7 linked regions of the Oryzias latipes genome follow. The protein of the gene in region 6 purifies or fractionates together with the protein of the main gene of each other region. This does not show direct contact. Links are inferred from orthologs where the notes say so. Each region holds a gene or a part of one and is shown on either strand. Other genes may lie near its edges.

What was found.
Region 1: the proteins of ilf2 (region 6) and histone acetyltransferase p300 purify together in Homo sapiens (affinity purification with mass spectrometry; 4 studies listed by BioGRID and IntAct, with this or other methods). This does not show direct contact. The link is inferred for Oryzias latipes from reciprocal best matches to the Homo sapiens genes ILF2 and EP300.
Region 2: the proteins of ilf2 (region 6) and hnrnpr purify together in Homo sapiens (affinity purification with mass spectrometry; 3 studies listed by BioGRID and IntAct, counting the BioPlex papers as one, with this or other methods). This does not show direct contact. The link is inferred for Oryzias latipes from reciprocal best matches to the Homo sapiens genes ILF2 and HNRNPR.
Region 3: the proteins of ilf2 (region 6) and hnrnpu fractionate together in Homo sapiens (co-fractionation; 3 studies listed by BioGRID and IntAct, with this or other methods). This does not show direct contact. The link is inferred for Oryzias latipes from reciprocal best matches to the Homo sapiens genes ILF2 and HNRNPU.
Region 4: the proteins of ilf2 (region 6) and heterogeneous nuclear ribonucleoprotein Q fractionate together in Homo sapiens (co-fractionation; 3 studies listed by BioGRID and IntAct, with this or other methods). This does not show direct contact. The link is inferred for Oryzias latipes from reciprocal best matches to the Homo sapiens genes ILF2 and SYNCRIP.
Region 5: the proteins of ilf2 (region 6) and igf2bp3 purify together in Homo sapiens (affinity purification with mass spectrometry; 3 studies listed by BioGRID and IntAct, counting the BioPlex papers as one, with this or other methods). This does not show direct contact. The link is inferred for Oryzias latipes from reciprocal best matches to the Homo sapiens genes ILF2 and IGF2BP3.
Region 7: the proteins of ilf2 (region 6) and sf3b1 fractionate together in Homo sapiens (co-fractionation; 3 studies listed by BioGRID and IntAct, with this or other methods). This does not show direct contact. The link is inferred for Oryzias latipes from reciprocal best matches to the Homo sapiens genes ILF2 and SF3B1.

Annotation. Positions count from the first base shown.
Region 1 is NC_019866.2:19,344,869-19,347,921, forward strand, and holds the end of histone acetyltransferase p300, read right to left. Parts: coding exon 1,746-3,053; 3' UTR 501-1,745; downstream 1-500. UniProt on the Homo sapiens protein: Functions as a histone acetyltransferase and regulates transcription via chromatin remodeling. Acetylates all four core histones in nucleosomes. Histone acetylation gives an epigenetic tag for transcriptional activation.
Region 2 is NC_019869.2:6,652,118-6,656,234, reverse strand, and holds the start of hnrnpr (heterogeneous nuclear ribonucleoprotein R), read right to left. Parts: upstream 2,801-4,117; 5' UTR 2,631-2,800; intron 2,112-2,630; 5' UTR 2,108-2,111; coding exon 1,945-2,107; intron 1,862-1,944; coding exon 1,743-1,861; intron 1,665-1,742; coding exon 1,557-1,664; intron 1,455-1,556; coding exon 1,341-1,454; intron 706-1,340; coding exon 529-705; intron 383-528; coding exon 247-382; intron 161-246; coding exon 1-160. Other genes in the region: ATPase inhibitor A, mitochondrial, read right to left, coding at 3,737-3,878, 3,957-4,069. UniProt on the Homo sapiens protein: Component of ribonucleosomes, which are complexes of at least 20 other different heterogeneous nuclear ribonucleoproteins (hnRNP). hnRNP play an important role in processing of precursor mRNA in the nucleus.
Region 3 is NC_019882.2:13,245,079-13,249,371, forward strand, and holds the start of hnrnpu (heterogeneous nuclear ribonucleoprotein U), read right to left. Parts: upstream 2,801-4,293; 5' UTR 2,639-2,800; coding exon 2,206-2,638; intron 1,102-2,205; coding exon 987-1,101; intron 1-986. UniProt on the Homo sapiens protein: DNA- and RNA-binding protein involved in several cellular processes such as nuclear chromatin organization, telomere-length regulation, transcription, mRNA alternative splicing and stability, Xist-mediated transcriptional silencing and mitotic cell progression.
Region 4 is NC_019882.2:1,562,544-1,565,891, forward strand, and holds part of heterogeneous nuclear ribonucleoprotein Q, read right to left. Parts: coding exon 3,249-3,348; intron 3,148-3,248; coding exon 3,012-3,147; intron 2,922-3,011; coding exon 2,716-2,921; intron 2,130-2,715; coding exon 1,980-2,129; intron 1,894-1,979; coding exon 1,772-1,893; intron 1,688-1,771; coding exon 1,081-1,687; 3' UTR 1-1,080. UniProt on the Homo sapiens protein: Heterogenous nuclear ribonucleoprotein (hnRNP) implicated in mRNA processing mechanisms. Component of the CRD-mediated complex that promotes MYC mRNA stability.
Region 5 is NC_019869.2:10,791,309-10,795,375, reverse strand, and holds the start of igf2bp3 (insulin-like growth factor 2 mRNA-binding protein 3), read right to left. Parts: upstream 2,801-4,067; 5' UTR 2,245-2,800; coding exon 2,070-2,244; intron 1,379-2,069; coding exon 1,318-1,378; intron 1-1,317. UniProt on the Homo sapiens protein: RNA-binding factor that may recruit target transcripts to cytoplasmic protein-RNA complexes (mRNPs). This transcript 'caging' into mRNPs allows mRNA transport and transient storage.
Region 6 is NC_019869.2:21,697,490-21,701,683, forward strand, and holds the start of ilf2 (interleukin enhancer-binding factor 2), read right to left. Parts: upstream 2,801-4,194; 5' UTR 2,672-2,800; coding exon 2,667-2,671; intron 2,313-2,666; coding exon 2,253-2,312; intron 1,395-2,252; coding exon 1,352-1,394; intron 1,274-1,351; coding exon 1,169-1,273; intron 1,078-1,168; coding exon 1,000-1,077; intron 755-999; coding exon 652-754; intron 424-651; coding exon 358-423; intron 1-357. UniProt on the Homo sapiens protein: Chromatin-interacting protein that forms a stable heterodimer with interleukin enhancer-binding factor 3/ILF3 and plays a role in several biological processes including transcription, innate immunity or cell growth.
Region 7 is NC_019879.2:174,679-178,178, forward strand, and holds part of sf3b1 (splicing factor 3B subunit 1), read right to left. Parts: coding exon 3,450-3,500; intron 3,374-3,449; coding exon 3,272-3,373; intron 2,956-3,271; coding exon 2,776-2,955; intron 2,709-2,775; coding exon 2,622-2,708; intron 2,408-2,621; coding exon 2,137-2,407; intron 1,497-2,136; coding exon 1,351-1,496; intron 1,138-1,350; coding exon 991-1,137; intron 906-990; coding exon 780-905; intron 586-779; coding exon 364-585; intron 296-363; coding exon 113-295; intron 42-112; coding exon 1-41. UniProt on the Homo sapiens protein: Component of the 17S U2 SnRNP complex of the spliceosome, a large ribonucleoprotein complex that removes introns from transcribed pre-mRNAs.

The sequences.
Region 1 (3,053 bases), on a different chromosome or scaffold from region 6:
GTCAGAATAAACGAAATCTTTTTTGACCCTTCTCGAACTCCGTTGAACACATATCAGGTCGCAATAACATCTACGGCCGCTAGAGGGAGTATTACTCCAAGCGATTTAAAGCTGAAGATTTACGGAAAGCAGAGCGGTCTGATAGCGGGCTTTGGGGTGTTTGAACACCTTAAATCCATTATTCCAATTTTGACATTTTAATATTTGTGTCCAGCTTCCTTCTTTCCTTTGTAATTATTCAGAATAAAAGAAAAATGTTTTGGAGAAAAAAAGCAACTTTCAGCATTTTCAGTGCTGAAAGTCAGGTTTGTTTGTTTTTTTGCATTTTGCTGAACAGAAACCAAACGCATACTTTGGTTTTCTAAGAGTTTGGAAACTCATTGCATTACTGCATGGCAGGCTGTTACCTTTGTTTTGTTTGTAAACAAAAAACTTCATTCTAAATCTAAGGTAGAAGCAGGAAGTGCATCTTTTGAAGAAATATCCTTAGAAGACACAACCAAATTGGTAATTTTTGTTTTATTATAAAAACAGTATTCGAGTCCAGTTTGTTTCCTTTGTACAGTAAAAAATATTAAATTAAACTCCCAAAGTTCTGAGCAGAAAGATAAAGAGGATGGAGTTTGTAAAGAAGGAGCTCCACGTCCCCCCCAGAGGAGGATATAAAGTTGAGGGAAGCAGCAAAGGGGACGAGGGAGAAAGAGACCGAGTCGGGTGTATTTGTGTGTGTGGGGGGGGGTCTCCTTCTTTCTCCTCGTTTCTGTGCAACACAGTTCATTTGGATCATCATCATCATCATCCTCTGTTTACAGAAAACAGCAGAATCCTAAAAACACTAGAACAAGCCCGCCCCACCCCAGGTATTTAAAATGTTACAGGCACAAAGGTATGCACCCCCCCTCCCCAAAGCTCTACAGCTCCATTTGAAGTGTCTTTAACAGGAAGGAGTGCACACACATTCGAGGGAGGGGGCTTGCATGTTGGAGAGGGCTTCCAAAGATGTGTCCGCCGCCGCCCTTCCGGCGCAGAGCGCACTGCAATCAAACACTGACATCACTCCCAACTCAAGACATCTAAAGTGAAATAACATATACTAACCCCCCCCCCATCTTAACAGTCAATACCAAAAATATATTTCTGTAGGAACTGTAGCAGTCTCCTAGACGCCCACCCCCAGAAGGAAAAGAATAAATAAAACCCAAACATTAGAAAAAGGAAAGAAAAAAAAAAGCATCATGTTTGGATTTGAGGTGAAGCGTAAACAAAAACAAAAAAAGGCCCCAAAGAATAAAATAAAAAAAGGAGCTCAACTGATATAAAGATATTTGCATTAAATCATAATTTTGGACTTTAAAAACCTATAAAAACAGAACAGTTTTTCAAAAGGCAAGTACTTTTTTCACATACCCCCCCTCAAAAAAATAGAATCAACTTTCCTCTGCAGTACACGGGGTGACTTGTGGGATGATATGTGAAAGACCCCCCCCCCCCCATCCCTAATTGGCAAAGAAAACATTTAACAGCAATAAGTTACAATTCATTTTCATTCATTTAACGACTGCTTGATTTCATGTTCATCTCCCATAGGAAGTTCAGTTCAATGCATCTTTATTGAAAACATTTTAAATAACATTTAATAATAGTTTAAAAAAAGCTTAGTAATAACAATAACACTGTCCTGGGTGAGTGCAGTTTGTGCGGATTTCCACTGCCGCTCCGCTCCGCTCCACACGCTGACGACCACCCTACATGTGGTCTAAGGAGCTGTGGCCGATGTTGGGGCCCATTGGGTCCTGACCGCTGCCGCCTGGCCCGTGCAGACCAGCCATGCTGCTCAGCTGGGACAGCATCTCATCCGAGCCGAACGGCTCCATGGCGTTCTGCTGGGCTGCTGGCGGTTGTGGTTGTTGAGGTGCCATCATTCCTGGATGGTGCTGGTTCAGGTGGTTGGGATGAGGAGAGCCCGTCTGCATCTGGGGGGAGATGTGAAGCGGGGAGGGGTGTGGCTGCATGCGTGGGGACGGGCTGGAGTGAGGCGGCTGGGACTGAGGTCTGGGTGAGGGCTGTGGGGACCGGACCTGGTTGGCCAGAGATGTGGACATGCCCTGTCCCTGCAGGTGCGGGTGGGGGGACTGGTTCACCTGTTGAGGCTGCTGGGGGCTCATGGGGTTGGTGTGCTGGGCCGGTGACCCTCCCGGGCCGAGATGCTGCTGCTGCTGCTGCTGCTGATGGAACATCCTTTGGTGCAGAGTCTGTTGAAGCCGGGCTTGAGCGGTTGAAGGTGGGGGTCCAATTTGGGTGGGTTGAGGGACTTGGGGTGCTTGCTGCGGACCACTGATACTCCCTCCACCTGGCCCTACATCACCCCCCATGGCGTTCTGTTGCTGCTGCATCTGGAGGTGGTGCTGGTGCTGCAGTCTCTGCTGCAGTGCAACCGTGGCCTGCTGCTGAGCGACTGATCCGGGGTAACTTGGTGCCTGCTGACCCGGCTGTCCACCGGGCTGCTGAAGGGGTGGCCCCCCAGGAGGCCCCTGCCCCACTGCTGGAGGCTGCATGCCCTGCTGCCCTATGAAGCCCTGCCCCTGGGGGGGCTGTGGCTGTTGGAACTGACTGTGGTTTACTCCCATGTGCTGCTGCTGTTGTTGGTGCTGCTGCTGCTGTTGTTGTTGCTGCTGCTGCTGCAGCTGTTGCTGCTGTTGTTGCTGCTGCAGCTGTTGTTGCTGCAGCTGTTGTTGTTGTTGTTGCTGCTGCTGTAGCTGCTTTCTCATCAGCAACTCTCTAAACTGGGCTCCGTTCAGGTTTCCCATCTGGGGCCCCTGACCCGGCATTCCTCGACCCACGCCTTGCTGCTGCTGCTGCTGTTGTTGCTGCTGCTGGAGAGCTGCAACCTGCTGCTGCTGTAACCCACTGAGCATTGGCCTCTGCTGCTGCTGCAACTGCTGCTGCTGCAACTGCTGAAGCTGCTGCTGCTGCTGCTGCTGGACCTGCTGCAACTGAGCCATGGGGCTCATGTTGACATTTGTTCCTCCTTGACCCCCCATGTGCATTCCCTG
Region 2 (4,117 bases), about 15 Mb from region 6:
TCAACGGTGACGGGGTTGCCCCAAACCTTCACCTTCCCACTCATTAGACGCCGCCGAGCTTGTGCTGCAGACTTGTGGTCCTCGTACTCCAGAAAGCAGAAGCCACGGTTCTTCTTCTTATCGTCTGGCTGGTGGTACAAAATCACATCCTGAAGACCCTCTGCAAAGAAAAACCGCATCACTCGTCAGCGACAGACAACCGACTGAAAGGGTTTCTCCAAATACAATCATTGACTTGAAACAGACCTGTAACCTTGCCGAAGTCTTCCAGTATACTTTCCCTCGTCTTGTTTTTGGGAATTGATCCAACAAACAGCCGGTTGTTTGCAACAGATATACAAACTCCCAAATACTTGCCAGGGCGGATTTCGTGGTTATCACACTAAAAACAAAAAAACAAAAAACAGCAAATACTTGAAAAGTAATGAAACACAGTAGAAGAAAACACACATTTGCTCAAACTATTCTTCCACAAAATCACTTTCTTTTATATCCAACGGGATCCATGAGATTTTAAAATGGACTTACAAGCTTGACGGCCTTTTGGGCATCGTCCTTGTTGCAGTATGTGATGAAAGCGTATCCTCTGTTTTGACCAGAAAGGGGGTCCATCATTAACCTCAGGTCCCAGATGGGACCTGCAGACTCAAACAGGGGCACAAGCTCGTCTTCATACAAATCTCTGGGGATTTTTCCTACAAACACCTGAAAGAAAGACAAAACACAAAAACTAAATCAATCATGAAAAAAATGACAATTCTATATAAAATTAAAACAATTTCCCTTCTAATTCAACTATCCATATTTATTTTCAACTTTCTTATTTACCTGCTTTATATATATATATATATATATATATATATATATATATATATATATATATATATATATATATATATATATATATATATATATGTGTGTGTATATATATTTCGTTTTAGCATGCGTATGTGAACGATTTTAAACTGATCTTGTGGCGTTTTCCTGTTGAAATAGAGGAAGAAAATTTAGCTCAAATTTGTATTTTTTGGGTATTTCTTTATTCAAATCTATGTAAATCAGGAGCAGACAAATTTAAAAAGATTGTATTTGTCATCTCTGCTCTGCAAAGGGAAAAGGGGGGCGGGGGCGCTTCACGGCAACGGTCCACTCAGGTGAATTTCTACTGAACTCCTGTCGCTCTGCGGAAACTATAATCTAGAAAACTGCACAGGTTTTTGATTGTTTTTCAAATGATATGAAAAGACCAGTGAGAACACTTTGAAAATAGATCAAAAGATGGTCGGAGTGGATCTTTAACGAACAGGATGTGTAATCATGCTTCTTTAAATAATCCCCACCTCTGTTCCAATCCCTGGATGTGTGCCTTTGAACATCTCCTCAGGTGGGGGGCCTCCATACTTTCTTTGTCCCGTGGTGACATCTAGGGTGTATCCTGTTCGCTCCAAGAGAGCCTTGGAAAGTAAACAATCAAAAAATGGGAAAAGCTTTGTAACTGAGAGAACATTTTGGCATTTCAACTTAGCCCAAAAAAACTGCAAATCAAGAGCGTTTACCTTTATTTTTGCCTCATCTGGGCCTTTAGTGGACTCTTGTACCTTACTGCCTTGTTTTTCTCTCTGCCTATACGTCTTCATAACTCCACAAAGAAACGCACTTTTATTCTGCAATTAAACAGACCAAATGATACTTTAGAAAACTGTTTAAAAAAGTACTGATGAGCACATAATTGAGTGTAATACCTGCACATGGGACAGATCGCTCTCCTTAAACTGCTGCAGGACTGTTAGAGCTCCCTCCTCATTGAACTCCCGTAGAGCATCAATGGCCCTTTCATCCAGATCTGCATACGCTACCAGGCCTAAACATCATGACAAAGTGAGCTAAACTGAACACATCAACAACAAACACATTGGAGCTTTGAAGGTAACAACAACCAGCCACCTGTTTGGAAAATGTTGTCTAGATTTTCAGCCACTTTCTGGGGAAGCCCTGCATCAATGAGGGTCTGGTAGTTTTCAGTGTGAGTTGTAGTTGTAGTCACATCCATAGGCTCCTCTTCTTCCTTTACTGGGGCCGAACTACCATTCACCTCAGCGGAAGCCATTCTCCTGTTAGATAGACATGAATAAAAACAGTTTTAGTTTATTACTTCATTTACTGTCAACTTGACATACCAGAAACAAGCTATCAAATTACGGAATATCTGGCTTTTAACTCAAAGATTTTTTAAACGAAAACGTTACGTTAAATGTCAGTATTATTATAAAAAACAATGTTATTTATTACTGATTTTCAAAATAAAACGACCCGCTCATACATTTTAAAAGGCTTATTCCACAGTACCGCCCCCTTCACATGGCGCCTGATCGATAGCTAACATCTTTCATTTATAATACTACGTGGCCCAAAATGTTCTAAAAGCTTAAGAAAAAAACAGTCATCAATGAGATCCAAAAAGTTCCACTCGTTTAAATGAAGTATTAAAGTCCATGTGTGTTGATTTTAGCAGTACACAAGAATACGTCCTAGCTAGCTAACGGGCTAACACGAAGGCCTCGCCGTGCAGCCCAGACACCTTTACACGCGCGCGCCGTAAAAGGCACAAACGGGTAGTTAGCAAGACTTACCAGGATGATTTAGAAAACTAGCTGGAAAATGTTTGAAAAAATATGAAACACTTGTTTTTTCGGGCGTTGGGAAAATGCTAAATGCCAAGAATGTTCAGGTCTACCACACGACAAATTTTTTCCAGACGGCAGCGGTCTCGTCTCGGCTCGCCCGAACAACGCCACTGAGGGAAACATCGCGAGATGTGAGAGTCTGCGGTACAACGTTGGTTTGCAAATCTAGCTCGTGTCATTGGGTCTTCAAAATGGAAACATGACTTTCTGTAATATTTTTTATTTTTCTCAATTTTATGTTTTGTAATATCCGCTTTAAAATTGTGTAAATTTCCAGAGGCTACAAGGAAATCAAACTGTTTTTACAAGTGTAATCAATCTCCTCACCATAACTTAGAAACCAACATATTTACATTTTTTCCAGTACTAGTAATTTATTTTATGATTAAATGATGGGGTGTTTGATTGTAAATTTCGATTAAAGTTGAAATATTGCCCTTTTAAAAATGTGATTTAATCCATGTAATAATTATTCCTCGTTTCATTTGGTTTATTCATTTGTCCTGTTTGGTTTAGTGAGGTAGGAAAGTATTTACAAGGTCTGAGTGAATTTCTTAAATGGGTAAATCCCTCAGACAGAGCTAAGGCCTGAAATGACAGACCTTTGTGAAAGTTTTGGCTTCAGTTTTGCAGCAAATGCCCTTCTTGGTCTGATGGAGCGTATCCATCCCCATAAGCTTGTGGTACCTTTACAGAACAATCCAAAGACTATCCAGATCTGACTTTGCTTAGCAGCTGAGATCACATAAGACCAGGTATCTCCAGCTGTGCCATCAGAAGTGTTCACAACCTCTCCATATCATCACCATAACAGGCTTAAAATAAAAACAAAAAATGAGTCCAGGTGTAACCGGGAACCCTAAATTTTGAGATGGCATAAACAGGGGAAATGAAAATCAACATAAACCAACAGAAAATCAATCATTTTATTTTGGAACGTATATAAAAGATAATCGTTTGCTTCATTAACTGCCAAAATGAGCAGATAGTCAATTATCTTTACATTGTTTTCAACGTTGCCACCCTTTCTATCAGAGTTGTGAGCGCAAACTTCAATCGTCATGTTTCAGTTTTCTAATCTTGCCAACGTGGCGGTCGATCTCCTTTTGCAGACGCTCTATTTCCTTCTTATGGTGCTCAATCTCTTCCGAATGATGCCTCCTCAGCACCTCCAGCAGCTCCATCTCCTTCTTTCTGCAGACAAAAACCATACTTGTCAAAAAGGGAAACGCTGGCATGAAGTTTTCCTCGAAAACCTGTTTCATTTCTTACCTGAAGTACCGCTCCTCCTCCACCACCGCTCGCTTTCCAAAAGCACCTCCTGCCTGCCTCACAGAGCCTCCTCCACCTCCACCTTTCCCTGCTCCTCCGCCCAACTCACCAAGCTGGAACAAAGGGCACATCATAGGATCCCAGCATGCAGTGGCTTTTCC
Region 3 (4,293 bases), on a different chromosome or scaffold from region 6:
TTATTTTAGATTATTTTGAAAGCAGGTTATGTTGTTTAGAAGGGAAAATATGGGCAAAGATTAAACTGATAAATCCCTAAAAACGTCAAGTGGACAATTTGGAGAAGCAGGAAGTGACTTTCCTGGATTAACACAACCAGAAATAAGTGATCACAATTTAAAAATAAATAAAACAGCCAACATTTTTGATGCTGTGCCCATCGATCTTCAGCGTCCAGGTAGTGCAATGAAAACAACACACGTGACCAAAAAAAGTAAGTTCATGTTCACACTCACACTGGAACTCCCTTGCAAGCCATGCATGAGGTCACAGAACGCGGGGTATAAAAACTCTTCCAAACGCACACAACATGACATTTTACACAAACATGATACAGAAACAGCAACAAGAGTGTGATAGAGAGAAAACAACAACAAAAAGGCAGAACACTCCGAAAAAACATGGACGATCACTACCGAAGCTCCTCCGTGGACGCTCCAATAATCTTGATTTTTTTCTTTAAATCTCCTAAATCCTTGTGTGCTACTTTCTTTCAGACCCCTCGGCTACTTTCCTCAACCCACCCCTCCTTTTGAAAAAGTGTACACCTGCTATTTCCCTCTGTGGGTTTTGCTTAGAGTAGCCTCCATTCACCTTAAGGACACAACGGGCTTTTCCAAAAGAAACAAAACAATAAGTGGCATGAGGAACAGATGTGAAAAGTCACAGATGCACTTCTGCTACAGAATGCAGTCCATTAAAGACGCTATGTGAGTGGGCATTGTAGAGTAAATGGTAAGGCTCTTTAGGTAGTCAGGGATGACCCTGAAAACACATGTGTGAAAGTTATTAAATAAGAGAATACTTTTTATTTTAAACAAAAAAACAGAGGGTTTTCCTCTTGCTAGAAATGTGTGCATTGGCACTTAAAGCCAATACAATCCAACAAAGCTATGGATGGCGCTTCAGGGATGCTGAAGGCCATTTTGCTCTGTCCCATCCTTACCAGCTGTATTTGTTCTCTTCAATAAATTCAAAGTAGCCCCTTCCATGTTCCTCCCGGCGTCTCTTAACACCCTTCTTATTCTTCTGATCAGCATTCGTGTCTTTGTCCGCATCCCCTTTGAAAATAGAACAAAGATATAGAATGAGGTGCTCCTTTTTGAGACAGAGAGAGAGGTCGGACTAGCAGTGGGGTTCTGGCCCACAAAGCCCGTTCATTAGTTACATTGTGTCCATCATAATTCATATGAATGTTCAAAGAGGCAGCACTATACTTACACTGAAAATACAGTACAATCAAATGGTTATGACAGCTTTTAAGACCAGGTAGTTAAACAATAAACTGGCCAAAAATTATAAAATAAATGAGTGATGCTTTGTGGGGGCGAAATAAAAGTCTGAAAAATACACCATTGTCAATGGGGTTTGATTAACTTATAAGGGAAAGTTTACTGTTTAAGGGGGATAAATAAATCATGCAAGTAAGGCTATTTAGATATGGTTTTAAACTACCTCCCCATTTGTTACACTGTATGATTTTGGAACCTTTATTAAACAGAAAAACCACGACAAAAAAAACTAGCTAAACAAAAGCAGCAGAACCAGCTGAGCTACCACTATTTAAATTTGGGGTTAGCCATCGCAGATATTCTCCTGTTTATTTTATTTGTGCAGACTGGGAAATGAAATGTTTCAAAAGTAATTCCAGTGAGATTGTACAAATGACAGTAAGATACAAGATTTGTGGCTTGCAAATTCCCCCTTTATGTCTTAACAGGAAGGGAAAATCTGAAATGGCTAACCCTGCTAAATTAGCTTGTTAGCACTACACCAGAAACAAAGGAAATCGCGCTAGCTGACAAGCTAACACACCTTACAAAATCGAAAGAAAAAGCTTAAAGGTCAACCAAAAAGGACGGTTCTCGGCATATAAATTTAATTAAAACTATTACTAAACTTTAAATTGTGTTTTTGAAACGACTCTTTAAAACGTGCCTGAGAGAATATGGTAACGCGTAATTAGAGTTACAAAACGATTAACTAAGAGGAGGTGACCGATGCTAGCTGCTAATGCTAACTAGCTTGAATCACGCCGCCGTGTTCAACATGGACGCTCCTTGGTAACGCGCTAAAATCTTCGCAACCAGCCCCCGAAAAAAAAAAACAGCCAGCCACAGTCCATTCAGCCAGCCACCTTTTCAGCATCACTTCACCAGACTCACCCTCAGCAGCTTGCTCCCCGGGCTCACCATCCTCCGTGTCAATTTTTTCCATGTCGTCCACATCTCCCTTCAGCATCTCGTCGTCTTCGTCGCCTTCTTCCCCCTCACCCATGTCTTCGTCATCCGCTACGCCATTGCCCTCGTCCCCATTATCATTATCCTGTTCTTCCTCATTAGCCTCCATGCTCTCTTCTATCGGGCCGTCGCCTTCCTCTTCCTCTCCCATCACCTCCTGTTCGGCGGCCTGTTCGAGGGTTTCCTCCTCCGATCCCTCCTGGGCCGCAGAAGAATCCCCGACCAGGGCCTCCTCGTCGAGCGCGGCCTGCAGGCGGTCCATCAGCTCGGCCTTCAGCCCCTTGTCCGACAGATTACGCTTCTTCAGCTCGTCTTTCAGCTCGTTCACTTTCAGCTTTTTCACGTTAATTGTGCTCATTTTGAATGCAAGAGTACAAACAGTTTTTAAAAAATCGACGATAAATAAATAACTGAACGCCTATAGACAGGAAACTGCGCCAAAATAGCACCCGCTGTCCGAGAAGTCTTCGCCGGCGGAGAGCTGCGCTGAAACGGCGGTTGAGTGGGGAGGGGAGGAGGACGGCCTCTCTCCTACCGTAATCACTGAATAAATGGCGCAGCGGGTTTTTTCCCTCTTCTGGTAAACCTGCCATCTGCTACTGTCACACAAGAAAACATCTATACTTATCTTACAAACACATTATACATTATTGCAGAGAAATATTGTCCACTTATTTGCTAAAAAAGAGAAAAAAAGTTTCCTTTTTTAAATGACAGCTTAATTTGGGCCTCAGCAACAAAACGGGACAAACTACAGTTAATGTTGAAATTTAATACCAGTTTCAATGGAAATTTCCTTTGCAGCTTTGGTCTTTTATTATGAACTCTCTTTGGAATGTTGGTACTTAGTCACCTCATGACTACACTTCCACCACTGTGCATGGCAGCAGAATTATTGAATTTTATCTCCCAACTTTTCTTATCAAAGACCCACTCCATTGAAAAGCATGCTTTTCTTTTATGTGTTTTTAAAATTTTCTTTAAGCATTTTCCAATGATGATGGGCTGCACTGTGGTGTAGTGTTTAGCGCTCTTGCCTCACAGCAAGAAGGCCCCTGGTTCAAGTCCGGCTGGGGGACCTGAAACAGAACATCAATGGGGGACCTTTCTGTGTGGAGTTTGCATGTTCTCCCCGTGCATGTGTGGGTTTTCTCCGGTGACTCCAGCTTCCACCCACCATCCAAAAACATGCTTCATAGGTCACTCTAAATTGTCCATAGGTGTGAATGTGGGTGTGTGAAATGTGTGACCCAGCGACAGACTGGCGACCTGTCCAGGGAGTCCCCTGCCTTCGCCCATAAGTGGCCGGGATAGGCTACAGCAGCCCCGTGACTCCAAAAGGGATAAACAGAGGAAGATGAATGAATTTTCTAATGATGGAGGACATATATAAAGAAAATTCAGTTCTGAGTATTTCTTTATTCAAAGTTGTGAATCAGGAATAGAAAAGAAATCCAGTCTAAAAAAGCTTGTAGCTCTGATGCTACAGTTGTCTGGCCACAAGCTTCCTGCTCTGCTCCATTCTGACGCATGAACCTGTAGACGGCTAGATCTGTGTACGTCTTTCTTTTCCTCGTCTGAGCTGGCATCTGGCTTAAAACTGTACTGCTGGATAGCTCCAATATTGCCTGCCATTGTTGTTGCAACCTGACGTTAGGTTGGGTTGCGAGGGGCTGTAAGCTAGTGGGAGAGCATGTAACAAATGGATGACTGGAAATGAGGGAAGACTTCATCAGTTCTGTCCACAACTCAGAGGTGAATTTCTGAAAAACTACTGGTGGTCTGCAGAAACTATGTTCTAGAAAAACAACACAGGTTTTTTGATTTAGGCTAAAAACAGCATAATCATAATTAAAAGATCACTGGGAACACTTTTACTATAGATTAAATGATTATCAAAATGACACTTTCTAATTCCAAATTTGTGTTCTTTAAAATGTAAATATTTTTAGCTGTTGTTTTACTGTTCAAATTTGACTGTTTTTGGTACATAAGCACTAATTTCACTTTGCA
Region 4 (3,348 bases), on a different chromosome or scaffold from region 6:
GAAGCAGGAATGAGGGCATAAATCAGATCTACAGGGAGGAGGCATGCAAAGCGCTGCTTCCCAACACAAGTCCGGCGCCAAACCTGGAGATAAACATGCAGGTTTAGTTTCCACGCTGTGAACAGCAAAGTTCCTTCTGGGACCAGGAAAAGCTTCAGTCTGAGGCTACAATCCAATTGTGCTTTTGTGCCCCCCCCCCCCCCCCCCCCCAGGCCGTTCTGACGTCGCTGCGTTGACAGTGAATTTGGGACACCAATTAGTGAGATGTTTTGGGACATGAGGTACGCCACTACACAGACAGAGCTCTGAGATGCCGACTACAGAAGGTGACTTGGAACTGGATGGCATGCAAGGTGACACTGTAGCATATGGCCAACAATGGCAAACCTTCAGTCCACCTTCTTCCACATGGAGCCTTAAATTTGAAGAAAATTTGAAAAGAGAATTTGCCGAAACATGAATTTGCGACACAATTTGAAGTTTTTGTACACGTGTGCGTGTATGTTTATTAAAGCAGACAAACAGCAAAGAATACAAGCCAAAATGTAAAGCCCAAAAATGAGGACTACGGTTGTCCTTTTTTTTTTTTCTTTTCAATAACAAGACACGCATTACTTTTACAATACAAATTGTAATTTCACTCTTATTAAATACATTTTTAGGAGACAGAAGCTTGGTAGCTTTTTTATTTTAACTAGTTAAAACATTAAAATCAGAATTTCTATAAAACATACATTAAGCTACAGCCAAATAGACAGCTTCAGCACATTTCGCATCTAAAAATGTTGGAAAAGTTGGATTTGAAGAATCTTTTACGACCACCTTAAAAAAACAAAAACAACAAAGGAAAAAAATGCAGTTTGCCAGAAGCAGGTGAGAGTGACTAGATCGAGTCCAAGCGGATCGATAAAATATATACATAAAGATATCCTGCCAGGTGTCACTAACTTTTGAGTGGAAAAAACAAAAAAATAAAGCTGGCAACAAAATGGAATAGAGGGCCAATTAGATCAAGTCTCTAAATGAGAAAAAACAAGGCAGAAAGGATAAATTCTTTCCTTTTATGAAAGCCTTACTGGTTTACTTCCACTGTTGCCCAAAAGAATCCTGATAAAACTCCTGGTTGTCAGATTTGTAACCAAAATAGTTACCAGCATGATCACCACCTTGGAGGGGTTGCTGAGCAATGGGTTGAGAGCCCCAGTTCTGATTATTGGTCTGGCGACGCTTGGAATCTGGCTGGTTGTACCCATCAGCTTTGCGCTTTCCTCCTACATTTCCACCGCGGCCACCCCGAACACCACGTACCCCTCCTCGCCCTCTCGGCTGCACGCCTCCTCTCGCTCCCCGCCCTCCGCGGCTCGGTCCAGGCCCTCCATGCGGGGGGAAGCTGGGCCTGCCCCTCGGCGCGCCGGCGCTGCCGCGTCCTCGAGCCGGTGAAGTTCCGCCACGGGCGCCCCTGCTGCTGCCGCGCCCTCGGCTCGGGGACTGGAAGTCTTCGTAGCCGTAATAGGGGTCTTCGTAGCCGCCGCGGTAGTTGTGATAGTCATAGCCGTAGTAGTCATAGTAGTCATCATAGCTGTAGTAGTCGGAGGGGTAGCCGTATCCACCCCGGTTGCCTCCTCGGCCCCGGCCTCTTGCAGGGGGCGCGTGGGGAGCAGGAGGGTAATAGTAGTAATCATCATATCTGACAGAAAGGAAAAAAAATCAGAAGCATAAAGTCAGTATTTGTGGAGGAGGAAGGCTTTCCTGCTGATTTAACAGCTCATACATTTGTGTTTTGGCTGCCTGCCTTTGAGCCTTGCGTTCTTTTCTTTTCTGATCCGGCGGTTTGGCAAAGACGATCTCGATTGGCTCTCCCTCCAGTTCTTTCCCGTTCATTTCATCCAAGGCCTAAATGAAGGTTTGGTCAGTTTTAGGTCCATTCTTTTGTGTTGTTTTTTAGAAAGAATGCTCTGGTTCTGAATGAAAGTGTGTACCTTCACTGCACCTTCCCGCTCCTCAAAGTGAATGAAGGCATAGTCCTTCAGCTTCTTCACTCGCTCCAGCTTTCCAAACGCACTGAAAGACTTCTCAAGAATCTCCTCCGTAACGCTGTTGGCGAGATTCCTCACAAATAAAACCTTCACCTGCAACACAGATAGAGAAACGCTTTTCCCATCAGACCTGTGCAGCTTCCTTCTGTCAGGACATCCTTGTACCAACGTGTGCCGCATTACCAGAACCATTAAAAACAGATTTCTGGGCTTCGTTCATATCACGTATCACTCTCCAGTCTTACTGAACTCTAGCCAATAATATTGCCTTTCCAGTGATTGTGGGCGGCTCCTATGAGAAGGCGTGAGGCTGTGGGGGTGGAGCTTTACTCTAGCGAGCGCAGCTTTGTCTGTACTTCACAGCAGAAGATCCTAATACAGTTACCCGACGGATAATGTGCACTGCTCTGAAAAAAGTCTGTTGCCGTGGCGATGAGAGGTAAAATATGTTTCCTTGTGTGTGTGAAAACAGAGGTGCACTGCAGACTGTTAAAAATAAGGACATTAAGCATTTTAAGTACTCTGTCATGCAGTAACACTTTTTGAAGAGTACCGCTTTGGCCAGATAACATTCAAACAAACCCATCCTTCCCCAAGGGGGCAAAGGAACAGGCCTGCAGGCGTTTCCATGCATTGGGTTTCTCAGTTCAGCATCAGGTTTTCAAAGGGTGATGCTCACCTTGGCCATGACCTCTGGGTCGGGATCCTCGATGGGATCAGCCCATTCCACTGTGACCAGGATGCCCCAGACCTTGACCTTCCCACTCATTAGCCTGCGCCGTGCCTGAGCGGCTGTTTTATGGTCTTCAAACTCCAGGAAACAAAAGCCTCTGTTCTTCTTTTTGTCGTCGGGCTGATGGTACAGGATCACATCGTTCAGGCCGTCTGGACACAAAGAAGATTCAGAACAAAATAAATCACAAGATTTATATTTAAGGAAAGTTCTTCAAGTACCGACAGGAACCCCGGTCGTACCTGTGACTTTTGAAAACTCTTCAACAATCTGCTCCTTTGTTTTACTTTTGGGAATAGAGCCAACGAACAGCCTGTTGTTGGCGACAGATATACACGCACCGATGTGCTTTCCGGGGCGGATCTCGTAGTTATTACACTGTAAAAAGGCATTTCAGGATGACGGTCAGGAACAGGCCGTTCGGCCCATTTTAATTTGAAAATGAAAGTTTTTGTCTGAAAATAACTCCATGAACTCACCAGTTTGACCGCCTCTTGTGCTGCTTCTTTAGCGCAGAATGTAACAAAAGCATAACCCCTGTTAAGGCTGCTTAGGGGGTCCATCATGAGCCTGAGGTCC
Region 5 (4,067 bases), about 11 Mb from region 6:
GCTCATTCCTCCAAGTTTTTTTTATTTTCTTTTTTTTTTTTTTCTAAATGTCCCCACCCTATTTTGATTCCTGACTGCTGCAGCACTTCCTCTTCCTGTGGAGTTCAAAGGTTAAGCAATGCTGATTGGCCAACCCTCCTGTTGAAATATACAGGCTGTAATGCAAAAAGAGTGCCCCCCAAGCTTACAAGGGTGTGGGTTCCCTCTTTTTTCATTGAGTATGATTATGTTCCATGTTCTACAGAGAGAGGGGGAGCTCAATTTACTCCAGCCCCAGTGTGGCTGAAACCCCCCCCCCACTATAAAACAACCTGAATATACAAAACATTAAATTCAAGAATCAAATCCTTCCCCTCTCTATTTTCTTATTAAAAGCTGTGTCAAACAATGTGTGTGGTTTTGTCTTTGTGATCTTTTTAAAAGCTATTCCATAAAAACCTCTTGGTATACAATTTAACCAATAGTTTGTCTTTATTTAACCTTTAAAGGGAAATTCTATAAAAACAGACTCATTGATATTTTTTTAGTTTAAAAAAAGGGATATATTTTAGGTGTAAACACGCAAACATGCTTCGTGATTCAACTTAGTACAAATAAAATATGTTAAATTTGGATCTAATAGTTTTAACCCCAATTCGACATCAATGCAAGCAGAATTACGCCAACACCAGGAATACGCACCACACGTCCAGATTTGGTGGAGCACTAAAGATTTTTTGTTTGTTTGTTTTTTGAAAGCCTGAAAACGCTCCACCTCTCACACAGACATTTCGCGAGTTGGGCCCTAAGCCTCCCATTCCACCCGCGATTTGAGGAGTCCATCTCATGCAAACAGCAGCACAACATGCTGAAGAGGGCGAAAGCGCAGGGCAGACAGGGAGAATGACGGGCAGATCCTTCTCAAATGGACGACTCCACAAGGCCTGCACGCCACAAATCCAGCCTGCGTTCACGTTTGCTCCTTTCGCCGTGCGCTCTGAGAGGGTTACAAGCCGCCATGAGCTTGGAGCTCATATATTGGGCACTACATGCGAAAACAAGGGTGGATGTGTAAACAGGAGAGCCAAAAGAGAGCATGTGAAAGCCAAAAGCACAACGGTTTAGGAGCAAAGCGGAGAGAAGGGAGTACAGTAATCCTCCACACGCCCCTTGTGTTTGACCCCTGAGCTTTCAGGGAGAGGAAATACTATTTTACGCAAAATAAAAAATTGAACAATGCACTGAATTTACTATGCTGGGAACCAAATAAAAACTGAAACTGCCATTTTGGATTTTTTTTATTTAAAAAAAAAAAGGCAAAATATGATTTAAACCTACCTTTGACGCTTAGGGACAGAATGCTCCACTTCCAGAAGTTTCCCGTGGAGTTCAACTTTACCTAAAACACAAAAAAGCAACTTCAGAAACATCCTGACCTTCCGGTAGAAAATTCACTCTTTATGGGAAGTTTCTCTCTCAAAAAAAAACATGAGCGTATTTTCTCCATTAAGCTAAACGCATAAAGACGACAGCAATTCCCATCTACAATCTATTTGAGGTCACCTGAACCTGTGCGTTAAAGGCATATTTTACGAGAAAACAAGTGAAAGAAGAACCAAACGTGTTTGTTGGCTTCATTCAGTTGGCCTACATTTGACCAACACAATTAAACCACCTGGTGTGTCAGCAACATGGCTTCACCACGCAGACGGAGGGCCCGTGTTTTGAAACCCGGGGAAACTGAAACTTCGTGGGTGGAAAGGTAGAAACACACCGCTGTCAGTGAACCTCCAACAAGGTCCACTTCTCAAGGCGTCTGCGCCCCAGCTGCCCTGAACGCCACACGAAGCCATTGTATTCATGTCGTTTTGTTTACTTCTGCTTTTTAAAATCAAGGAAAGCCAAAAGACTTTCCACCTAAACCCATATGTTTAAACCCCTGGAGTCTAAAGGCCACGTAAAGGTTGTGTGATAGAAGAAAAAAGGCACCCCCGCCCTTCGTGCATGCATGCATGCATTTCTGGGGGCAATGAACGAAGTAAGACGATCCTAAATGGAGGCTCTTTGTGAATTTGTTGAAAATGTCTCACCTGAAAGAACATCGATGGCCTTCATCGCTGCCTTCTCGTCCGGGCAATCCACAAACGCATAGCCACTTTTGACCAGAAACGGACCACTGTGCGGAATCTTCCACTGCTCAAAGATACTTTCGAAGTCCTCCTCGCTCGCCTCTGCGCTCACGTTGCCAATGTAAAGCTTATTCATGTTCCACGCCGAGAGGGGACAATCTTTACGCGGAGGGAGAGTCAGTTACCTACTCCCGTGGATGTGCAAGTGCGGTGTGCGTGGAGTAGCCCGCGTCGCCGTTACTACTACGGACTGAGCGGCTGTGGCGTGCTTCCCGGTCGTTCAAGCCTCAGAATTTAAACTGGCAGCCTAGGTGTGCGTTCGCTCTCTGTCGCGCAATAAATAAACGCTCAATTATTAATCTCCAAACGTTGGCGGGCCGGGAGAAAAGGAGGAGAAACTACTTTGTGTCTTCTTCCAAACCCCTTGGCAAAGAGACAGAGAATGTCACACACGGTGAGGCTGGCGCCCGCCTCTAAGTCTACAGCCCAGAATAAGAAGAAAGGAGGAGGAAAAAAAAAAACTCTGCTATTCCGGCTTTTTTGAATGAGCCACGTGTTCAAACTACAAATCAGCCCACACGTGAGGATTCCCAATTGCTCAATTAAGTATTTGGGGGAAATTGCACGGGAATCTGGGGTGGGGACAGCAATGGGGAGTGAAGAAAAAAGGAGGGGAAGAGTGGATTGGTGTTGGGAAAATCTTGTGCGTAAAGGGATTCCATGAGAAAGTAGTGCATCTTAACTGGATTCACAATCGTTGCCTTTCTCTGCAAAACTTTGATTGTCATTGGTCAACAGGGGAACATTAAATCGACTGCGCGTTCACGCGCACTCCATAGCAGGGAGACAGAAAATTGCTGGTGCTCGTCCGCGCGGGTGCGCCGTGCCCTAAACTGATGACACAGTTGAGGGAGAAGGGGGTGTGGCCATTCATAAATAATGTTACACTGTATTGTTAAATTGCATATCGGATGTATTTAATTGCAGGTATGTGTGGAGCGTTGGCAGAACCCCGCGCGCACTCTTCGGACCCTCGCACTCAAGTGGAAATGACAACCTGATGACGGCGTCCATCTTCTCTAGCAGGCGTAGAGCCATGCTTCTCTGAGTCTGATCCACGGCTCAAAGTCCAACAGGGGGCCATTTTTTTCTCGTGTTTACATAAATTGAACATTTAAGATCGTATACTTTAATGTGAAATCTGATTTTTCTGCTTTTTACTTTCATATGTTTAGGCATCTGTGCACAACCCCCAGCCATGTGGCGCAAACGCACATGGCGAATCTTGTCTGGCATGGATTTACTAAAGAGGGAGGGGTCTCCTCTACTACTGGTAGTATGTCCCGAGCGACCTATGTAACGCATAGCCCAGCTCAATCACGTGTGCAATACATGACTGCAACATTACACAACTGTCAATAGGATCTTAAGTAAATTATAAGCAGGGGTTAAACTTTTACGTCCACGTCAGACAGAATCCAAACCTGTTGGTAGTGAAAAAAGTCATCTTTTAATCTAGTTCCAACCAAATTTTCTACTTGTTATAAACAAAACAAAAAAAGTTATTGGAAACCTCTTAACATAAAGTAGCTCAGTTGAAGTTTATTTCATTGTGTGCTTGAGCATAAGTATAGGCTACTATACTTGCTACCATCATGTAGTGTAGCGTAGAGTATACTAACTGCATACTTATTCAGACTAAATTGGAACATTTTAAGTGTACGATCTATTCAAGTATGCTACAACAGCTAAAGAAATTAGTTTTTGCAATAGTGGCCAACTAAAAGGTACAAATAAACTAATTAAGTCGATTCCTGAGGTACATTTAAAATTGTTTTTGATTGCTGGAGGTATGAGGAGTTTTGTTTTACCATAAACTTCTGTAAAACCTAAAGAACTTGCTCCAAACACACAACAATTAAGAAGTTTGCATACTTTGTGTCAGCTACTTTACTTTTG
Region 6 (4,194 bases):
AGCGTGTGGACAAAAGTGACGATAGGAAATAAGCGGAGGTTTACTTCCGCGCCCCACCCACAAGTTAGAGGCGAGTTTCAGATGAACTATTGCCGCTCTGCAGAAAATGTCCTAGAAAACAGCAGGTTTTTAGAATTTTGGCTAAAAATTCTATAACCATAATTAAAAGACCACTGGGAACGATTTTACAATAGATCAAAAGATGATTGATGTAGGACTTAAATTATTTTTTATGCTTTAAAAAAAGTTCCTGCAAATCTTACAATAGCTTTAATAAATTTTCAGAAGCAATTTTTAGGGTAAACTTGTAAATCACGTTGATGCTTTAACTCATTGAAGGAGATCTCTGTGATTTACCTTCAGTAGGGTCCTGGGTGCGGAGAGTTTCCACAACCTTGTTGCCAAGAGCAGCAACAGCCTCCACTAAAAAGAACAAAATTATATTTGGACATAAAGACACAATTTTTCACAACCATTAAATGTGACTAAAAAACATCATTCAAGTTTGAAAAAAAATATTTAAGGAGAAATTCAGATTCGGTGCTGATGCACTGGGATGTTTGATGCATCAACAACATATATGAACCATTCTCATACAGTCGATCAGACAAAAGAATCTGACAACATCCGGATGAGAAACTCATGACCTACATGTTGGGAGGATCTTCAGGATGACTACAAGGTCTGCAACATTGTGCCCAGTAGTCATGGTTCCCTTCTTATAGGAACCCACCTGACGGACTTCTTCAATTTGCTGTCAAGAGGCACAAAAAAAACAATTATTCATTGTTGTGGGTCATGGATTGTGACAGAAGGCTGTGATTGAATTAAAGATACTTCAATCAGTCTGGTTTTGCCTAAAATAAAAATGTACCGGCAGTATCCCTCATATTTCACCTCATTGTTAAAAATGTATCTACATGTTCATTGAAGCTGCTTTAGTCTGTGGACCAAAGGTTCTTCAAATGGGACCAAAGGTTCTTTAGTGGAGCAACTCACCACTTCAAAGTTTCCAGGAGCAACAATAAGGTTGTCAATGACGTTGTTGATCTTTGTGACCAACGACAAGATAGAGGACTATTATAAAAAAAAAAAAAAAGGGAACAAAATGTGTTAGAAGCACATATGATGATGATGATGAAAGTTCCTGGGCGAGTCCGAGTCAGACCTGCTCTGCTGGCGTGGGGCTCAGGTCCTGGTTTCTCTTCAGGAGACACTCGCTGAAGGTCGTCTCATCAGAAGCAGGCTTCACTCTGGGGAAGGCCATCTCGCACTGGTGGAAGAAAGGAGTGAAAGTCAAGACTCACACTTATTCTGCATCGATATTCCAGCTATGTTCACTTGTTCTCACCACGTAGAAGTCAAACGGGATGTGTGGGACAAACGGGCGGTACCTGCATAAAAAATGATTAAATTAAGCATACGTTCATATGTAAACATTTATATCCCAAGATTTAAAGTGCATAAAGTGGAGATTTTAACTACTCACTTTAAGCTCAAACCTTCTCACTGTTACATCAGACACATGCTATATGGCAAAAGTAGCCACTCATTTGACTTTACACGCATGATCATAAGTTATAATCCATTTGTACTCCACATCATCTTCATCCATGTCTTTATGGGCCTGCTTCTAGCAGTGGTGCACAGTCATGGTGCTACCAGGAAGCAACATTTCTAAATTTTTAAATCTCTTGGTGTCCTACAGCATTCAGACTTCCTTTCACTTGAACTGGAAGGGGTGAGAACAGCTTCTGACAACTGGAATTCACTGATCTCCTGGGATGGCAACATCCCTTAAGATGTTTGCAGAAGAACTCATTTTATGCGTCTGTGGCCATGGAAATGACTGGAATGCCACAATTTAATTATTTGAATAAGTGATTTAATACTTTAGGCAATACTTTCGTAACATGGGCAACACTGCTGTTGGTTTTTCAAAGTTACAGGTCGGGGGGGGGGGGGCATCTTTAGTCATCAATCTATTTAGAATATTAGATTTTTTTTTATCCTGAGTGTTCTTAGGTTACAACAATCCTAGCATCATGGTCCTCTACTCCAGCTAGCCCCGTTCATCTTGATTCTGATCCTCAAGAATTAGGTGTCCAGTTTCTGACAGACTAGAGACATATAAGTAATCAGCAAGCTGGCTCAGAGGGTTGTTGAAAGGAAAATGTAGGGGGCAGAAAAGCTTGCCAACACGAACCGATCAGACTTTGTTTTCTGAAAATGTTTGGGAAACAGACACTAACCCCTGGACCAGGCCTCCGCGGGCTCCGAAGCGCCCTCCCCGGCCTCTTCCGCGGTCTCCTCTGCACAGAAAGGGAACAGATGATAAAACAAAAATGATTAGGCCACATAGTGACATACACACATAATCTGATGGGAGCTAGTGGTCTGCACGAAGAATGATTATTGACATTAATTCACACAAATAAGTATATAAATAGCCTAAAAACAAAACTGTGTACGAAAACGCGTGAATTTATTCACAGAATTGGCTCCTAAACTAAAAAAAAAAAGAGTTGAAACACATGAGGGAAACGCTGCTTAACTTACAGGTTATTATGCTAACGCGGCTACAGGCTGGACACAAATCAAAATACAACAACAAGAGCAGCGTGTTCAACCACCGACGCCAATAAAATGAATAAATATATGCTTACCTCATCGTGTAAGACGTTTTGATTCCGAAAATATAAAACAAACGAGAAGAATTAAGATTTGCAGCTGCTGCAATGAAGGCGCAGAACCGGACATAGACTGGGGCAGCGCTAGTGAAACTTCCGGTGAGGAAAGGCTCACAGCACACTGCTGCCCCTACAGACCAGGAGTTAAAAGTGCAACCTCTTTTATTTATATAGCTTTTTTATTGAACATTTTCAGAATATAATATAAAAATGCAACATTTACAACAGTACAATATTTTTTAATTTGCCCTAAAATAAGCGATGTGACATTTCACTATAACAACGATTCACATATTTTGTGGTTGCTGATCCGATTCACTTTCGATATTGGTTCATTTTGAATGATCCAATTTGATCTGATTAACTGACTAACCTAAAGTTGATCCAGGACATCTTTGGGCAAACCTTCAACCAGTGTGGCTTAAGACATAAATACTGAACAGTGCAGGGGAAGTTTTCATCAAAATCACATCAAAATAATACAAACAGAACATTATTAGAACATTCTAGCACACTGTTTGGTCACATGTCTGTGTTTTGTTTCCACACATTGGATCATATTGACGGACTGATCTTTTTTTATTTTAACTTGACCAACAGCTGAGCTAGCAGATCAGAACTGAAGATCTCTTGTTGGACAGATTTTACTGTTACAATAGGGGTTTATGGATCTTCAGACAAACAACAAACAGAGTGTAGATTTGTATAAAACCCCTTTTTTGTATTTGAGGCTATAAGCATTATTTATGATAATTATTTTTGTATGCGATCTATGTTGAATCAGACGGAAGAAAACAAGAAAGAAAGAAAGAAATAGAGTGGGATGTTGGAGACAGGGGATGAGGGGTTAGATAATACAAGGTCAAAACATACGAGTGTCATAAGTAAATTGCATGACTTAGTTCACACATCAACAAATTCTCTGCACATCTATTTACAGATTGGAAGTATATTCCTACATTCATGATGGAAGATTTATCCCACAAGACTTTCGCACACAGACAGGTCCACACAATATTTGTATCACCAATATTCTTGAAGAGGGGTGTAGAAACAATGCTGGATCATTTTTTGCTGACATCATGTGTGTTGTCCGCTGTGATTGCACTTGGTCATTTTTACAATATAGTAACACAAACTAACCAATCAAAATGTGATTTTCAAATATTAATAATCAATTTCTTTCATTTTTAAATGACTTTATAGTATAGATTGATTTGATTCGATAAACAACTTGCCTCAGATAGATCAATCTGGTTGGATCGTACGAATAAAAATTAATTCATCGAGTCGTTTAATTGTTACACCCCTACTTAAAATGAAATAAAATGAACAGGTCTGCACTTGTGTCCTCCTCTGGAGTTTTGTTAGCAATAAGAAACATGAAAAGACTATTGAATGCATTTCTTGTGAGGTTTAAGTAATGTTACTAGTTCTGGAAAGAAAACAGGGAAATAATTATTTCTTCTACGTAAATGTGGTTTCTTTTTGTACGTTTAACAAA
Region 7 (3,500 bases), on a different chromosome or scaffold from region 6:
TACTCGTACAGCACCACCCCCAGATGGCCCATCAGCTTCTCCTGCAGAGGGACAGCAGAGCGGGTGAGGCCTCAGGCCTGAGCTGCAGGTTTACGGGGGCGGGGTCACCTACCTCCTGACAGGTCTTCATGACCACCGCTGTGCGTGAGATCAGGTCCGCCGCCTGCTGACGCACTTTGGCGGACTTGTTGTTGAGGCGCCACAGCACTGTACCGCAGATCTGAGGCAGGTACGGTTTCACGCGTTTGCCCAGCGCGTTCACCACCGTGCCAAAACCGTTCAGCATCACAGAGTCCTGCACACGGACAGAAGGTTAACCAAAGCCCCCCATAAAGCAGGAATCCATGCCTGCCCGCCCCCTACCTCTGTGGTCTGCTCCTGGAAGGCGTACAGGATGCCATCGATCAGCTGCTCCTCCAGCTTGTGGTCGATGTCAGCTGCCCCCAGGTTCCCCATGATCTTCTCGATGGTCTCCATCACCATCTTCCTGTACTGCTCCGCCTCGTCCTTCAGATCATCCACGATGCGCGAGATGATCTCTGCCGCCCCCACTTTGTTGGCCAGCTCCACGGTGGTGTCCACCAGCTGGAACCAGAGACAACAGAACAGTTAGTGCCCCCTACTGGCTGCAGCTGGAACTGTTACTAGTTTTGAACAAAAATACAGGAATCAGTTTCTTCAGAAACATGTTGCCGTGTCATGAGGACCCTTCATGCTGAGCGTCTCCATGCATCATGACCTTTGTCTGCATGGCACCCAGCTGCTCGCCGTCTGCTCACCTGTCTGTAGTTGCGTCTGTCCAGAGCCATCCTGTGCTGCCAGAAGTGCTTGAAGAACGGCGGCAAAATCTCGGTCTTGATGTAATTTGCTTCCACGCCGTCCGTGCCACAGCACTGCTTCACCACCTAAGAGGCGGGAAACAAGAGCCTGCTCAGGTTCTGTTCGCCATCAGAGCGTGATGAAAGCACCCAGCGCTGCACCCCCACCTACCTTCAGTACGATCTTCTTCATTTCCTCATCGGGGGACTGGAACTCCCTGATGAGGATCAGCATCACCTCTCTGGTGTAGTAGTTGGCATACTCCGCATCCATCAGCGGGATCAGATACCCGATGGCTTTGAGGAACGCGGCCAGACCCTGTGGAGCGAGGAGAGTTAGAACGCGTCTGGAGGCGGTGCTTCTGTCCTCTGCTTCCAGCAGACACTGGCCCTGCAGTGGACCTCAGCTGGCAGCAGAAGCTCCTTCAGAGTCACTATAGCAAGCAAACATTCACACTGCGGCCACGCTCAGGCCCAGTGCTGGGTGTGATCTTGCCGACAGGATGTTCCCTCTCCACGCAGAAGCGCTCACCTTTCCTCTGTGCTGCCTGATGCCCTTCCACAGCGGCTTCAGCACCGAGTCGAAGGACTCAATCCCATAGGGGGTGGCGGCTTCAGCGAGGGCAGCAATAGCCAGGGCACTGATGGTCCTCACCTTCTGCTGCTCGTCCACCAGACCTGCAGCAGAAACGGGTCACAGGCGGGTGAGTGGAGGCTCCACGCTGCCTTCCTATCAGACACGCTCTGCATCTGCCAGAACAGGGGAGGCCCCTCTGAAGGTCTGCGCGGTATCAGAACACTCCTCTTCTGAAGGGGGAATCCCACTTCTCTTCCACTTCTTCAGACCAAACTGTTCTGTTTGCTGAAGTGGGACTGACTGTAACTTTTGCCCAGCCTTCTAAAAGTGGAACCGTAGAGATGTTCACCAAAGGGAACCAGCAGTCTGTGTTCTGAACACAGCAGCAGCTGCAGCGTCACCAAAATGTAGCCGTGGAACAGCAGGGAGGGTGGACTTTCATCATTTACCAGCACAGCTGAGGAAAGTTTCACCATTTCACAGCAAAACCTGGAAGCATGTGAAGTGGACTCCACCCAGATGCTGAGACCGACGCTAGAAAGGTTTTTAGCAGAAATGCTTCCACCCTGAAAACGTGCAGCTTTGGTTAAAGCTCCTGTTGAAACAGATGAACAATTTTTCCACCAAAAGCTTCTGTTCCAGAGAGAAAAAGAGGCACCGTGTCCCTGCAAAGGGGGCGGGGCTTGAGTTGGATTTAAGGCAGCTACATTGGGGTGTTGACAGCTGCCGTGCAGGACTGACCGTGCTCGATGATCTCCACCAGGCTGCGCAGGTGAGGCAGGATGGCGCAGCCCATGAGAATGGCGATCTGCTGCACGATCTTGATGCCGGTGTGCCGGGCCTGCCAGGACTTCTTGCTTTTGCAGACAGCTTTGAGGAAGGGCAGGAGGGAGGGGATCCCCAGTGCTGAGGCCACCACGGCGAAGGCTCGGGCCGTGGTGTTTCTCACGTACTCGTCCATGTTGTCGATGTCAGGTCTCATGGTGGAGATCATTGTGGCCAAACCTGCAGCCTAAAGGCATCAGAGAAGTTGAAGCTCATGCATGTAAACACAGAGGTGGGTGTGACCAGCGGGTGCAGGGTGAGAACAGGCGGGGCATCCACGCCCTGCCTGCACGCTCTCATGCTGGTGTCACTCTGGCGAACGCCTAGCCCTGTCCTGACCACGGACCGGTCAAACAGGCGAGAAAAGTTCGCCATCAGAGCACTGACAGGAAGGGCCTTACCTTTGCCAGGTTGGAGATGATCTCTCGCCCTTCCACTCTGGCGTAGTAATCTTCATCGATGAGCAGGGGCTCGATCACCACCAGGATCTGAGTGGACAGAAGACTTTCAGTTCACTGCTGAAGACGCGGCAGACAAACCTTCAACCGGACCCACCTTATGAACGTACGGCCGCACCAGGTCGTCCAGCTTGTACAGGATGCGATCGATGACTTTGACCAGCAGGTGGCGCTCCTGGTCCTCCAGTGTGGGGGACATGAGCAGCGGCAGAATCTGGTTAAAGAGTGGCCCTGCTCCAAATTCCCGAGCTTTGTCTGTGATCTGACGCAGAGCCGCCTGAAAGAGCCAACGAGAAGCTGGAGGTTCAACCTCTATCAAGACAGCAGATGAGGATCAGAGGTTCCTCTGCGGTGCCAGAGAAACCCAGCAGAGGAAATAGTTAGAGGACAAACGTCCATCATTCTACCAAAACTGCATGTGATCATTTTACACAAAACCAGCTCGTCAGAGGAAAGCAGCCCAGGATCGGACCTGCCAGCCTTTTTACCCTGAAAACTCCTCAGCTGAACTGAAGTGACAGTCAGGATGGAGGCTGCAGGTCTGCAGCAGAAGGTTCCTCTCGTCACCGCCCCCCCCAAACACAAACACCAACCTTTCTCATGGGCGGAGTTCCGTTTTTGATCTTCAGCAGCAGCTTCATGATCTTCCTTTCCTTCTGCTCTTCGGGGCTCAGCGTCGACTCGTCCACCTCCACCTAACATCGACACAGACCGTTACCTCCACAGAAAAGACCCCCACCCACCGCAGCCCCCCCGTCCTGCCAGACTCACCAGGAGTTTGTCAAAGTATTGGATGTCATCGGGTTTGAGGAAGGGCAGGTT